Arabidopsis thaliana: one gene and its partners. The protein of the gene in region 1 interacts with the protein of each later gene in a pairwise test. Each region holds a gene or a part of one and is shown on either strand. Other genes may lie near its edges.

Region 1 (5,116 bases):
CCAAACCATGAGAGAGTTGGTCTTTCTAAGACCATATGGGTTTAAACCGCTCAGAGCCTTCCCCATCAATGCCATGGCTGCAATACTCGGATACTGTTTCTTCTCGAACTCCTTGTGACTCTCTGGCTCAAAGCTAGCTTCTTGCCCTGTTGGTTGATCTGTTGATGTAGTTTTCTTCTTGCACCACCTCTGGATCCATGGATGCAGAAGTGTAATGTCATCTCCTCCTTGTCTCAGATCATTGCTCTGTGAAACGACGGGTTCTTGATTTCTCGGTTGGAGATTGTTGATTCCGGACTTCAAGATCTCAAGGAATAGATTATTGTTCTCTTTTTCTCCCAGTGATGCTTCTTTCATCTTCATCATGCTCTTGGTTTCACTGGAATCTGAGGGGCTTGTCTTCAGACGCTTGACCCATCTACTGCTGGCTTCTACTTCTGGTTCCAACCGCACACGTTTGCAATCTCTGGACAGAAAGTGTTCCACATTCATACTTTGAGTAGCCGAGTTGCTTGTTTCTCCCTGATGTCCATCTACTGAATTCTCTCTATCCGGAACAAGAGGTGGTTCTTCATTCATGTCAGGTATTTCGGTCCTTGGAATGGCTGAGTAGCCTTTTATTCCTTTTCCCTGCGGAATTTTCAACATCTTTCACAATCACAACTTTCAACATTTTGAGTAAAGATATGTAGATATGTCGATTGAACAATACCTTAGTTGATGACGAAGAAATGGAGCCGGAAAGATGTATAGTCTGAAGTCTATCCATTTCTAAGGTATTAGTCTCTGCCGATGATTCATTTTTTCTCGGTCCATCTTCTTGAGTATCCTTTGAGCTTTCTAGAGACTGCAGCCTTACTCCTCCTCTATTGTGGGAGTGATCTTGATTAGGAAACAGATCAAGATATCCACCAAAAATCTTCCCTTTCAGTTTCATGGAAACTGTAGACCCCTTCAATAACTGATGACTATCTTCTTTAGGCAAGTTAACAGAATCAACCGTTGCGTAAATCCTCACCGGTCTTATCAACTCTAGCAAGTTTTGAGTAGTCTTTTCTTGAATTGGGAAGTCAAGACGGTTACTAGAACTGAAGTTCTCTCCTTGCGGATACATCCAGGGCATTCTATTAACCATAGCTCTCGAGCTTGAACCAACATCTTCATGGAAAGACGGTTTAGTAGTAGTAGTAGTAGTAGTCTCTCTCTTTTGAGAAACCTTGAACATAGGAAACGGCAAGACCTCGACTCCATGATTCTCATCTTCAGGTCTTATCAACTGCTTAGAGCAATTGGTCTCACCATCATGAAACTTCACTTCACTACCTGACTGAGTCCAACGACCTAACCAAGCTGATTCATATGGATTGACTGAAGAATTCTTGCTGATTCCTTTGTTACCTTTACCCAAAACCATAACATGTTCAGACATTTGTACGTACCTACAGATCTTCTCCAGAGGCTTTGATTAAATCACCTGAGAAGTAAATATCCTTTATCTCAATCATAATTCAAAACAAACACAATACTAAACTAGAGCTCATGAGCATCAAGCAAGTGGATAATTACTATGATCTCAAAATTCTCTTCACCAAATTTCACACAACCTCAGAATTAAACCTAAAGAACACAAAAAGTTTCATCAAACAAATGTGAGGAGGATCACATTCTTATTCTTTTTTTGATAAACTAGGATCACATTCTTTTTCAGTAAATTCTCCAAAAAAAAAAAAAAAAAAAAGAAGCTAATTCCACAAATTTATACTTACAATTACACCAGATATATAAAATCCAGAAACAAGTACAAATCCATTTTTCTTGTGTGGAAGAAATACAAATCGATTCAATCGATGAGCAAACTGTACCACCAGAAACAAGAGTCACACAAAAGAAAAAAAAAAGAGATTTGTGATGGAGATTATTACCAGAGACGAATACGTGGAGGTACACTGTCCAAAGAAACGAAGTACGAATTTTCTTATAATTCTCTCAAGTACTTATTTGGATGAGAAAAAAAAAAAAAAAAAAAAAAAAAACAGAACCTTCAGAAGAAAATAAGACAGAAGAGATGGGCTTTTGTCGGAAAGAGCAGAAGATGTAAATCTCAATATCTATTGTCCAAAGAAGGTGTTAAAAAGAACCTCGTATTTCGTATAGGCATCGACGAATTATAGTTATCTTCGAATTTTTTAATAAGTTGAAAAGTTATTTTAGTTGAAAAATGACGTGTTCATTTTTGTGCCATGTCTAATGCAAATGGGCACAATAATATCAAGAACATTAACTGTACATATATCTAGATATTTTTAATTTTGCCATGTGTGTCTATCAGGTTATAAAAATATCTTCTTCTTGCCCATAAAGTTTAAGAGATATCTTTCTTTAATCAATGTGTTTTCTATACGTCAACGTAGATCTTTTTTTATTAGATCATGTCTCCAAAGACGGCTATGTACTTTTAGCATTCAAATGCTTGTAAACGAAAACAAGAGTCTTCGTGCCTATGACTAGGCAATTGAATCGTGGTAAAGGTTGATAAATTTTTTGATCAGCCAAAATCTTTAGTAATGTCGAACAATTTATCTCAAACGAAACATATTTAAAATTATGTTGTATGAAGCAGTTTATTGTTCAGTAATTAGAAAATGCAAGTGTAGAAGAGATTGAATGAGTTTTAGACCAAAAAAAAAAAAAAAAGAAGAGATGGGATGAGTTATTTTTGGCCATTTAGATAATGTTATTTGCGTAATCACGAATTTTGCGGTATTAGTTTATTTGCGTCGTGCAAAATGGCTAAGTAAGCATTAAATTACATCAAATCTTTAGAGAGAGAAATAACTTGCAATAGCAAATGATGAGGAAACTAACCTATACAATAAAGTTTATATTAGAGTTGATGTATAATATATAATATGACAATTTTATCCTCCCTACTATCACCATTAACCACCACCACAACAACCATCACCACCACAGTTTCGCTATCGGCGGAACCACCACTACCGCCGTCATCTTCATCACCACTACCGCAGTCCTCCAACTCCAAGCCACCATCTTCATTGGAACCACTGCCCTCGCCGGAGCTACCAGTGTCCTCACCACCATCGCCGTCCTCCAAGCCACCATCCTCGCGAGAACCACTCGCCGGATCCACCGCATGTCCTCACTAGATTCACACTGTTGCCGAACTTACCACCATCGTTGGAGCCACCATCGTCGGAGCCGTCACCTCCTCCATTGGTCATTTAATTTATCTTTTATGTTAGTTAACTGATACATATATAGTGCTATATTTTTAAATTTTTATTAAAAAATTGTTAAATTCTGCCAAAAAAAAAGAAAAAGAGAAAGAAAAGTAAATTATAAAGGAAAAAACAAGAACTCTACAAAAAGTTTTTTTTAATAATAATGATTATGCCAAGATTTGTTAGAGAATCTATAATGGTGAATTCTTAGCAAAGATTCTTAGCAATATTTTTATAATTGATTTGAAAGTTTTGAAGTTAAAAGTTTGGATAAAAGTTTAAATGTTTGGCAATGTCCAATCGTAAGCTCTTAAGTTGAGGTTTTTAAAAAATATATAAACATTTGATTTTTAAAAATTTTAATAATTATTGCAATTCATAAAATTTGAAACATACATGATATCAAAGTTTAAACATACATGACATAAACATACATAAAACGATTAGTAGTACATAATTACAGAATTTTGCAAATATTTCTCATTCTCCCACTTATATCACAACACGTGTCTGGCTCTTAAGATGTATTTAGACTCTTATATAAGAGTCATCTCTTACCAATTATATGAATTAAACATTAAATTTTATACCTATTTCTCTTATAACTATTCTAAGAAACTACTATTGAAGATAATCTTATATAACTACTCACTAGTGGTTATAATTAGTAAAGGTGTCAAACGGGCTTAGTCCAAATAGTACTGTAGTGGGGTGGGTTTAGACATTAATATTTATGTCCACGAAATAGCAGGCCAAGCAGGTTGGCCCATCACGGATTGCAAACTGAAGTGATTGACTTATTGCGGACAGCAAGTTAGCAGATTAATCTGGCAAAGTAAAACCAATTCATTTAAACTTCTTTTTCACTTAATGTTTAAAAATATACTTTTGTAGCACGATCTAAACCTATTATCCAGCATGATTTTCCATTTACTTATGTTGAGTATGATAGAGTTAGAGAAGTTTAAAGTATTAAGAGTATTTCGGTAAACAATAATTTATCAGGAAATACATTTCTAAACTTAATTTAATGTTTAAAAATATACGAATAATTATATTGATGTTATATCACATTAGTTATCAACTAGGCAAGATAAGCAATCATACTTTAGTAATAAGGAAAACAAATCATGATATTAAACTTATCGATTATTAGAGTATTACATTATGTATAAATAATACTATATTATATTAACCTGGTATTATTTATACATATGTGATATGTTGATTTGCTATACATATTTTGTACAAGAATAAAAGTGGCGCAAGAATAAAAGTGGATTTGCTATACATAAGTTGTAAATAAAAAAAAGAGCAAGTAACTAATTACTACTTTCCACCGTCATGGTTAATAGATATCGTTAAAATGTATGGGTGAGTATGCTATAAGATTCAACCCTTGAGAATTTGATTGCAAGCGTCAATAAATCTTTCATATACGTACGTCATTACTCATTAACAAACAGTTGTCTTGATTTGCTAAATCTAAAACTTACCTCCAAGTCTCCAACTATATATGGAGAAAGTAAATTGTTTACCTATGTTCTATATTTCTTTATTATTCATGATCAAAAGTCTAAACAATTCGATCGGTCGATAGTTGCCTCGAAATCTAGAACACATTGAATTAATTTTTCGTATCCAGATTCATGTACTTAAAACTGGTTTATCCAGTAATTTTCTAATACGTTTTCTAGTTAACAAAATTTTTTTTTTACTTAAAGGTTAGAAATTTTAATTCATAAATTATTTAGCTTTCTGTAATCCTAACTAAATGGTTATGAACCTTTGGAAAATTTAAAATTTAAGTTATTGTTTAAGTTGTTAGCAAAATCTAAATTTGACATCGATTTAAAAATTAATATAAAATTTAC
Region 2 (5,116 bases), on another chromosome or scaffold:
AGTCTAGCCGCCGGCTGCTATAACTTTGCTATAACGTGTGATATTATAAAAAGTTGATAAATCTAATCTTCTAAACCAAATTGTTTTAATAATGCTGTGTTTACTTCGTCATCGTATCGAATTATACGGCTGCTCTTGTTAAGTGATGACAATATCTTCAAATAAAGTTTTTTCTTTTGTAAGCAAATATGATAAAACTACGTTAGCTAATAGCCAACTTGGTCCATCATAGTTCATAAAGTCAAAAAATCAGTAACCAATTCATGAGTGGAATTATACTTGATTCAATGACACTGTTTAGGAGCTTATCTAAATTGCACAAGTTTTGTTACACGTAAAACACAAATATGCCAAATTAGACATGTTTCTCGTCATTCTAAAACATTAACAAATATTTACATAGACGCAGTCAAATAAATCAAATTTCGTATGATAAAAAAAAAACAAAAAAAATAGCAAGGTTGATTTGTCAATGCTGGCAAAAATAAGCAATGTCCTAATTTCTCAAGTTGGAAAGTGACATTTCTCTACCCATTTTTTGAAAAGATATTCTCTTTTGCATATAAGATTTGATAAATTGAACGCATATTTGCACTCAAGCTAACGTTATGTACTTGATTACTTGACCCGACTAATGACTTATTGACTTTGATTAATAAACAAAGATATTAGCCACTCCATTCTACATTATATACAATCTATACGCATCTATATATATCTACTAAAAAAATTGTAAGTACATACATATCAATGTTAATTTGTATATAAGGAGCTAAGAACAAACCCAATTAGGCAACTAGCAATTGCTAAAACACGTAAGATCTCAAATATGACCACGTTATTCCTCCTTATTGCTCTATTCATCACAACCATCCTCAACCCAACAAGTCTCTCTCTCTCTCTCTTTAATCTCACATGATTTATTCTCATTTTCAATTTTTATAGATATATAAACTTAATCATAATTAACCTTAATTATGTTATATGATAAACTAGGTGGAGAATCAGTAGGTGTATGCTATGGAATGATGGGGAACAACCTTCCTTCTCAATCAGACACAATCGCTCTCTTTAGACAAAACAACATCCGACGTGTTAGACTCTACGATCCAAACCAAGCCGCTTTAAACGCTCTTAGAAACACGGGTATCGAAGTCATCATCGGCGTTCCAAACACCGATCTTCGTTCACTCACTAACCCTTCTTCCGCTAGATCATGGCTCCAAAACAACGTCCTCAACTATTACCCCGCCGTTAGCTTCAAGTACATCGCCGTAGGTAACGAAGTATCTCCGTCGAACGGCGGTGATGTTGTGCTCCCTGCCATGCGTAACGTTTACGATGCTCTAAGAGGTGCAAATCTTCAAGATCGTATTAAAGTTTCTACCGCCATTGATATGACTTTGATTGGAAACTCTTTCCCTCCTTCCTCCGGAGAGTTTCGTGGTGACGTTAGATGGTATATCGATCCCGTCATCGGGTAATTTTCCAACCAAACCAAATAACCAAAATTCATTAGATTTAGTTATTTCCCAATATTTTTCATTTCTGGTTACTTGTGGAATGATTATTTAATTTCTTCCTATGTGGCTAATTAGGTTTCTTACGAGTACGAACTCAGCGTTACTAGCCAACATCTATCCTTACTTCAGCTACGTTGACAATCCACGTGACATATCTCTCTCTTACGCTCTCTTCACTTCTCCTTCCGTCGTCGTATGGGACGGCTCTCGTGGCTACCAAAACCTCTTTGACGCTTTACTTGACGTTGTTTACTCTGCCGTTGAACGCTCAGGCGGTGGATCTCTCCCAGTGGTTGTTTCCGAGAGCGGATGGCCTTCTAACGGTGGAAACGCCGCGAGTTTCGATAACGCGCGAGCTTTTTACACGAATCTTGCGTCGCGTGTGAGAGAGAACAGAGGAACACCGAAGAGACCTGGAAGAGGAGTGGAAACGTATTTGTTCGCTATGTTTGATGAGAATCAAAAGAGTCCTGAGATCGAGAAGAATTTTGGTTTGTTTTTTCCTAATAAACAACCAAAATTTCCGATCACATTCTCTGCCGCGAGAGACGGTACGGCGGTTGAGTGATGATTTTATATGCTGAGATTTATGTGAATAATTGGGAGATTATCCCATAAAAGGTTCCAAATAAAGACAAATTTCAAATAAAACCTGTTAGTCCAAGTTAAATTAAATACTCGGCTTTGTTTTGGTCCACGTTAGACTTGGTAAAGTCATGCAATATTTTTATTTGATATACACCAGACCAGACCAGACCTTTGAGGACACAGACGCCCACATGCCCACATATATCGTCCCTCGTATGCCCACTAGTCGGAATAATCCACAACCCACGTGATCTCGGTCCTTCATAAAACATACAAGGCAACGAAAGTTTAAAAATGTGGGTTAAATTGATACCTACACAAGTTTTTGGAACTTTTAACGAAATTTTAATAGACGAGGGAGTCAAATCATAAAGAGAACAAGGTCATCGTCTTCTTTAATCCTTGAGTTCACCACCTCTTCTGCTTCATTTTAATTGGTTTTTGAGAGCCTTAAGAAAAATTCAAATTGGTTTCTGTTTTATCATTTTACAAACTTCGCCGTTAAGCTAGCGACGGTGATAATTCAAGCTTCCCAAAAATCCTTATGAGTATCATTTTTGAGCTCTTACAGTGAAGATTTGTGAAAGTGTGGTTTCGAATCCAATGATTGAAGAAGATTTTCTTCGTCTCTCGCACTAATTCTTTGAAATTCCAAAACCATTAACTGAGAAAAATGGTCTCCGGAGGTGGTAGCAAAACCAGCGGTGGAGAGGCAGCTTCCTCAGGCCATCGCCGAAGTCGTCACACCAGCGCTGCAGAACAAGCTCAGTCGTCAGCAAACAAAGCCCTAAGGTCACAGAATCAGCAGCCACAAAACCACGGTGGCGGAACAGAGTCCACAAACAAAGCTATTCAACAGTACACTGTCGACGCGAGACTCCACGCCGTCTTCGAACAATCCGGAGAGTCAGGTAAGTCGTTTGATTACTCACAGTCTCTTAAAACGGCGCCGTACGATTCCTCCGTACCAGAGCAGCAGATCACAGCTTATCTCTCCCGGATCCAACGCGGTGGCTATACCCAGCCTTTTGGCTGCTTGATCGCCGTCGAAGAATCCACTTTCACAATCATCGGTTACAGTGAAAATGCGCGGGAAATGCTAGGGCTCATGTCTCAATCTGTACCAAGCATCGAGGACAAATCAGAGGTTTTAACGATTGGTACGGATTTGCGATCTCTCTTCAAGTCATCGAGCTACCTTCTCCTCGAGCGCGCGTTCGTGGCTCGAGAGATCACGCTTCTGAATCCTATTTGGATTCACTCTAACAACACTGGTAAACCTTTCTACGCGATTCTCCACAGGGTTGATGTTGGAATTTTGATCGATTTAGAGCCGGCTCGAACCGAAGATCCGGCACTTTCAATCGCCGGAGCAGTCCAATCGCAGAAACTTGCGGTACGTGCGATTTCTCATTTACAATCGTTGCCTAGCGGCGACATTAAGCTTCTATGTGACACTGTTGTGGAAAGCGTTAGAGATCTTACTGGCTACGACCGCGTTATGGTGTACAAGTTTCATGAAGATGAACATGGTGAAGTCGTAGCCGAGAGTAAACGGAACGATTTAGAGCCTTACATTGGTCTGCATTATCCCGCTACTGATATTCCTCAGGCATCTCGGTTCTTGTTCAAGCAAAACCGTGTTAGGATGATAGTAGATTGCTATGCGTCACCGGTTCGTGTGGTTCAAGACGATAGGCTCACGCAGTTTATATGCTTGGTGGGTTCGACTTTGCGAGCTCCTCATGGCTGTCATGCTCAATACATGACTAACATGGGCTCTATTGCGTCGTTAGCTATGGCAGTTATAATAAATGGAAACGAAGAAGATGGTAATGGGGTTAATACTGGAGGAAGAAACTCGATGAGGCTTTGGGGTTTAGTTGTTTGCCATCACACATCAGCTCGTTGCATACCTTTTCCTTTGAGGTACGCTTGTGAGTTTCTTATGCAGGCCTTTGGCTTACAGCTAAACATGGAGTTGCAGTTAGCCTTGCAGGTGTCTGAAAAACGCGTTCTGAGAATGCAGACACTATTATGTGATATGCTTCTACGTGACTCACCAGCGGGGATTGTCACGCAGAGGCCTAGTATCATGGATTTAGTAAAATGTAATGGTGCGGCATTTCTTTACCAAGGGAAGTATTATCCGTTGGGTGTGACTCCAACTGATTCTCAGATTAATGACATTGTGGAGTGGTTGGTTGCTAACCATTCTGATTCTACCGGGTTAAGCACAGATAGTTTAGGCGATGCGGGTTATCCTCGGGCAGCTGCTTTGGGAGATGCTGTGTGCGGTATGGCAGTCGCGTGTATCACAAAAAGGGACTTCCTTTTCTGGTTTCGGTCTCATACTGAGAAAGAAATCAAATGGGGAGGGGCTAAGCACCATCCTGAGGACAAAGATGATGGTCAGCGGATGAATCCGCGTTCTTCGTTCCAGACTTTTCTCGAAGTTGTTAAGAGCCGATGTCAGCCATGGGAAACTGCTGAAATGGACGCCATTCACTCGCTCCAGCTTATTCTAAGAGACTCTTTCAAAGAGTCTGAAGCGATGGACTCTAAAGCTGCTGCAGCTGGGGCGGTTCAGCCACATGGAGATGATATGGTACAGCAAGGGATGCAGGAGATAGGTGCAGTTGCAAGAGAGATGGTTAGGCTCATTGAGACTGCGACGGTTCCTATATTTGCTGTGGACATAGACGGTTGCATCAATGGGTGGAACGCCAAGATCGCAGAGCTGACCGGTCTTTCTGTTGAAGACGCTATGGGAAAGTCGCTGGTTCGCGAATTGATATACAAAGAGTACAAAGAAACAGTTGATAGGCTTCTTTCTTGTGCTCTCAAAGGTTTATGCAATTATTTAGATTTTCAATCTGTGCATCACTCTAAAATACAAATTCTGATAATGTGTTTCGTTTTCAATTATGCAGGGGATGAAGGCAAGAATGTGGAGGTCAAGCTGAAAACTTTTGGTTCCGAGCTACAAGGAAAAGCAATGTTTG
Region 3 (5,116 bases), on another chromosome or scaffold:
ACAATCTCATCGGCAAGTGACTTCCCCATTGCTTCACTAGCTAGTAATCCCGTCATTTCAGCGGTTTTCTTGTTCCAACCATTAATACATCCGGATGAATCAACCCCAAAAATAGGTGCAGTTGCGGTTTCAATCACCCTAACCATTTCACACACAAAAGAAGTAAGCTCATTAGCATCTCTTGCTACGCCATTACCAGACAAAACTGGCCTAGAGCTGGTAAATGACTCTCTCATTATAAGTCTCAGGGAATGGATAGCATCAATTTCTGAGATTTCCCACGGCAAGCTCCTGCTCTTCGCAACTTCAAGAAAGGCTGTAAACGATGACCTCGGATGCATTCTTCCGGCATCATCTTTATCCTTTGGATGATGTTTAGCTCCTCCCCATTTGATTGCACTTGCAGTATTGGACCTGAACCAAAGTAAGTAATCTTTTGAAGAAAATCCTGCGGCAGCCACACCACAAACGGCATCTCCAAGTGAGATGGCACCAGGGTATCCCGCATCCACCAAACTATCAGTGGTTAAACCCGTCGAATCATCACCGTGATTCTCCACCAGCCAATTCACCAAGTCTTTAACTTGTGACTCATTAGGAGTAACACCAACCAACCAACATTTCCCCTTGTAATATAACGCAGCTCCATCACATTTCACAAGGTCCATAATACCCGGAGATTGTGTAACAATAGCGGAAACAGTATCACGGAGAAGCATATCGCACAACAAGGTCTGCGTCCGCATAGCCTTCTTCTCGGCTAACTGTGATGCTAACTGAAGTTCCATTTGAAGCTGAAGCCCAAATGCTTGCATCAGAAACTCACAAGCATACCGCAACGGGAATGGAACGTATCTAGGAGAACAATGATGACCAACAACTAATCCCCAAAGCTTGCTCGAATCTTTGCCTTTTACTACAATTGCGAGTGCAAGAGAAGCTACAGAGCCCATATTCGCCATATACTGCGTATGGCAGCCATGAGGAGCTCTTAGAGTAGAATTAACTAAACAAAGTGGTCTCTTGAGTTCCTCACTCTGAACAACCTTAACCGGAGTTGCATTGCAGTCACAAATCATTCGGACACGGTTCTGTTTGAACAAGAACCGAGCAGCCTGAGGAATATCTGTTGCCGGATAATGTAAACCCAAATAAGGCTCCAAATCAGACCTTCTAATCTCAGAAACAACTTCACCATGATCATCTTCATGAAACTGATAGACCATAACACGGTCATAACCGGTAAGTCTCTGAACATCTTCCACAACAGTATCACACAAGGCACCAATATCTCCTCCGGGAAGTGACTGCAGCCTAGAAATGGCCCTAACGGCTAGCTTCTGAGACTGAACTGCGCCTGCAAGGGTCAAAGCCGGATCACCTGATTTAGCAGGCTCCAAATCCATGACAATCCCTGCATCAATCCTGTGAAGAATAGCATAAAAAGGCTTCTGGGTCGTCCTAGAATGGACCAAAACAGGATTCAACAAGGAAATCTCAGTAAAGGAAGCAGCTTTAGACAAAGAAGCTCCAGAGGAAGGAGTAAAAAGCGTCCTTGCATCGATTCCAATCAAACCCTTGACTTTATCAAACTCACCAGAATGGGAGGTGGAAGGAAGAGACAACAAACCAAGAAAGTCAGAAGAGTTGTCACTAAGACCAAGTATCCTAAAACTAGGTTCTTCGACAGCAATCAAACAACCAAAGGGCTGAACTAGACCGCCTCTTTGGATGTTAGACAAGTAAGCTGTGATGTGTTCATCAGGAACGTGATTGGGAGGTGAAATAACAGATTTGGAGTAGTTAAAAGACTTGCCGGTGTAAATGGATTGAGCGAAATCAGCAAAGAGAGCAGCATCAACAGAGTATTGAGCAGTGTTGGATTTTTGAGGTTGAGGTTTCATGTTGCTTGCAGCTGAGCTTGAACTCTCGAATCCCATAGCTTAGGGGAAAGTGTGGAGTGAGTTTCGACCAGAAGAAGAAGAAGAAGAAGCTGATTCTGTATCATTTGCAGCAAGAGAAAGAAAGAAGTAAAAAAAGTTTCCTTTTTGATATTTGGGATTCGTTTTTACCTCAAGATTCTTCTTTTCATGTTTTGTTTTGCTTCCTTCAATGCTTTTTTTTTGCTACTCTGTTTGCATTCTCTCCCACACGTACAGCTTGTTCGGTGACCACCACCGATTCACTTTCATTTTTTTTCCCTTTTCTTAAATTGCTTTATTTTTGTGAATAAAAAAGTTCCATGGAATAAGTATTTTTTTGTTACTCTGAATCTATTGAAGAAATGGCTAATGTCTTTCTCAAATTTAATAGACCTTCAAAATTTCAACATATTTTGGTCAAAACTTTCAACTTTGATAATGTCCTCATACTTCTGAAAAAAAAACAAAGTTTCTTTTGAGCCAAATTTGAAACTATGTTTAGTCGAGAGTTACCAAAAGCAATCTCCAAAGCATCTAAACGACTGATGTTATGTAAGAAATCAATGACTTTCTTGGTTCATAAGAACCAATGTTAGAAAATATGATTCTTCTGACAGGTTTATTAACTAGTAACAAGAATATATGACTATCAAATGTTAATGAAAACAAGTTAACATTGTAAAGATGTACATATTGGCAAGTTTGTCAGGGAGCTTAAGACCTTAGACAAAACCTTAAGAGTCAAGTTAACACAGAGAAGAACAATAGTCAGGTCACTTCCTTACGCCTAATCAAAAGAACTTCTTGTTGAATGATCTGCACAATAAGGACCATGCCAACAGAATCATGAAACTTTTACTGAGAGTTATAGATTAAATAGCTTATTATAATACCACAGAACCACCAGATCCGGGCGCCCATATACGATATTCCTCCTTTATGAAAGACCACAGAAGCTAGAAAATTCGATAAATTCACGAAAAAGAAGGTTCCAGATTGAACCTCTCTTCATTTATATTACTGACAATGCAGTAGTACAAAGATCTAACCAACAGTTTGAATTTACCACAAGGAGATAATGGCTGTTGTTAACCTCCAAAACTGATATTTCACTCAATAGTTACTCACTTTTATACATTCAGTATCTCAGCTTCACCAACTGTACATTTAGAACACTTAAGATTTCAATGATCTATTATCCTGGCTAAAACAAGGGTTACGCTTTACTTGTGTACTAATATCACCGAGCATTATTCTATGGTTCACTAATTAAATAGCACCTAAGAAGTCTTGAGGAACTAAACTAGTCTATGACTAAATCTGTTAAAGAAACCCAGAATCTGCAATCAAGATATAGTGGAAACAAAAGGAAGAGATTTCTTATTCCTTGTTACCGAATCTCTTGGCAATGACAGGACGAACATCGTTGGCATCAGCCAATGTCTCTAAGAAGGGAAGTAATGTAATCAGACCATCATCAGTTGGATCATCATACCAACTTTTAATAGGGATCCCATTGTTTATTTGCAATCTGTACACCTGAAACAAGAACAATGAGGGTCCATGTAATACTCAACTAAACTACAAATTCTGCACTGTAACTATCGTTCTTTGAAATTCGATTTGCTTGTGGTGTCTATCACTGAGACTAAGGTAAAAGCAAAAATTAATGAAACAAAGGTAGTGAAGTGAATCCTTTAGAAAATACCTGTGGACAGTTGTCAACTATAGCCACTTTTGCTAGATCAAGACCCAAAACGGTTAAATCCTTGGTATAAATACCATCTGAAAGAATGCATGAATCCCGGTAAAAACGTTGCGATACAAACTTCCCATCTGGATCCAATATATCTAGAAGCTGAGACGCATAGATGCTGTGACTAGCCGTGAAGATGACAACATGAAAAAGTTCAACCACCCTCTCTAAGAACCTATAAAGGTATGGTCTTTGTTTCACGTAAACAGTGTTCTCTTGCATATTGAAAGTGACTCTGAAGGAAAAGTCTGTATCTCTACAGACTTCCAGAGTCGAATGGACCAGAGTTTCTGCAATGTCATTTAAAGATGATTAGTAAGTGTGGTTGTACCATGGAGGCAAAACTTAACCAAGTGGTTCATATCATACCATCCAAATCAAGAACAAGGGTTACCGCCTTCCTTTTCGGAGAGTCCCTAGGCTGCTGCATATCCGGGAAATAATTGAATACCACATCAGCTAATTCTGGTTGATTTCTTAAGAAAATCTGTGGATCAAAATCTTCAGTTTGTTCAGCTTCAGTGTGATTCTCTGCTGCTTCCAAGTTTTTTGATCTTGACCGATTAATCCTGTTATCCTCATCAGACTTAACATCATCACTGCTGGCTGATCTATCTTCTAAGTAAGGTAATAACATGTACTGCTCAGCTGCATCTAGTAACACACTTGGCTCTGGAAAGATACAATGAGGCAAGGGACTTATCTCAGTGAAAAAATCAACATTTCCACTCTCATAGAATGGCAAGCTTGCAATCAGCACATCAGATAGAAAGTAATCAGAATCGTTGCAAAACTGATTGTTGCTGCAGTCATCAGCTCCCCACCTAGGCATTTCCCATTGCACATTGTTCCCTTCCACAAATACTAAGGAAAACCATTCTTAGATTACTCGATTCTCAATCAAAAAGACAGCTTAAATAAAAAAATGAAAGAGTAAGAGAATATACCTCGGTCAGTTTCAGAATACAGTTCATCATCAAGAACAGGTGAAAATATTGTATCCATATTCGACGCATTTTTGGAACTGTCTTCAACTAGCAGGTCTTGGGGTTCATTTGTTACAACATCCCTAGTAGAAGAATCCAAACCTATAGTAATCAAAAGCATCATCAGAACAAATTTAAAACAAAAAGATGACCGACCTATTTGTAGAATTCAAGAAACAAGCCTTACCTATATTCTGTTCCTCGTTGTTGTTGCAATTCTGAGTAGCAGTGACCAAAAGTTCCATTCTCTCCGATATTTTGGGATCAAAGCATGAATTTTTAACATCCTTATGAGGTTTCTTACAAACACCAAGAACTCTTTTCTCTCTTAACGAGTCCTTGCTTATCTTGCTCTTCATTTTCAAAAATGGCATTGGCATAGTCTCTAGAAATACAACAACAAGCTGCAAAAGAAATGGTCTCAAGATCAAACCAGCAGCAGATACTGCAAA

The links.
Region 2: the proteins of AT2G16365 (region 1) and PHYD interact in a two-hybrid assay, tested with the Arabidopsis thaliana proteins (one study listed by BioGRID).
Region 3: the proteins of AT2G16365 (region 1) and PHYE interact in a two-hybrid assay, tested with the Arabidopsis thaliana proteins (one study listed by BioGRID).

The regions. Positions count from the first base shown.
Region 1 is NC_003071.7:7,071,253-7,076,368, reverse strand, and holds the start of AT2G16365 (F-box family protein), read right to left. Parts: upstream 2,008-5,116; 5' UTR 1,923-2,007; exon of another isoform or gene 1,767-1,922; intron 1,718-1,766; exon of another isoform or gene 1,475-1,717; 5' UTR 1,430-1,474; coding exon 713-1,429; intron 631-712; coding exon 1-630. Other genes in the region: AT2G16340 (uncharacterized protein), read right to left, coding at 2,885-3,124, 3,191-3,235. UniProt on the Arabidopsis thaliana protein: Together with PCHL, regulates growth and development adaptation to the ambient environment by controlling negatively phytochrome B (phyB) dark reversion, a temperature-dependent thermal relaxation process during which phyB reverts from the active to the inactive state.
Region 2 is NC_003075.7:9,197,155-9,202,270, reverse strand, and holds the start of PHYD (phytochrome D), read left to right. Parts: upstream 1-2,430; 5' UTR 2,431-2,784; coding exon 2,785-4,960; intron 4,961-5,044; coding exon 5,045-5,116. Other genes in the region: AT4G16260 (Glycosyl hydrolase superfamily protein), read left to right, coding at 830-887, 997-1,480, 1,599-2,091. UniProt on the Arabidopsis thaliana protein: Regulatory photoreceptor which exists in two forms that are reversibly interconvertible by light: the Pr form that absorbs maximally in the red region of the spectrum and the Pfr form that absorbs maximally in the far-red region.
Region 3 is NC_003075.7:10,044,009-10,049,124, forward strand, and holds the start of PHYE (phytochrome E), read right to left. Parts: upstream 2,339-5,116; 5' UTR 1,941-2,338; coding exon 1-1,940. Other genes in the region: SSP4b (SCP1-like small phosphatase 4b), read right to left, coding at 2,710-2,738, 3,317-3,461, 3,631-3,968, 4,048-4,542, 4,626-4,766, 4,852-5,044. UniProt on the Arabidopsis thaliana protein: Regulatory photoreceptor which exists in two forms that are reversibly interconvertible by light: the Pr form that absorbs maximally in the red region of the spectrum and the Pfr form that absorbs maximally in the far-red region.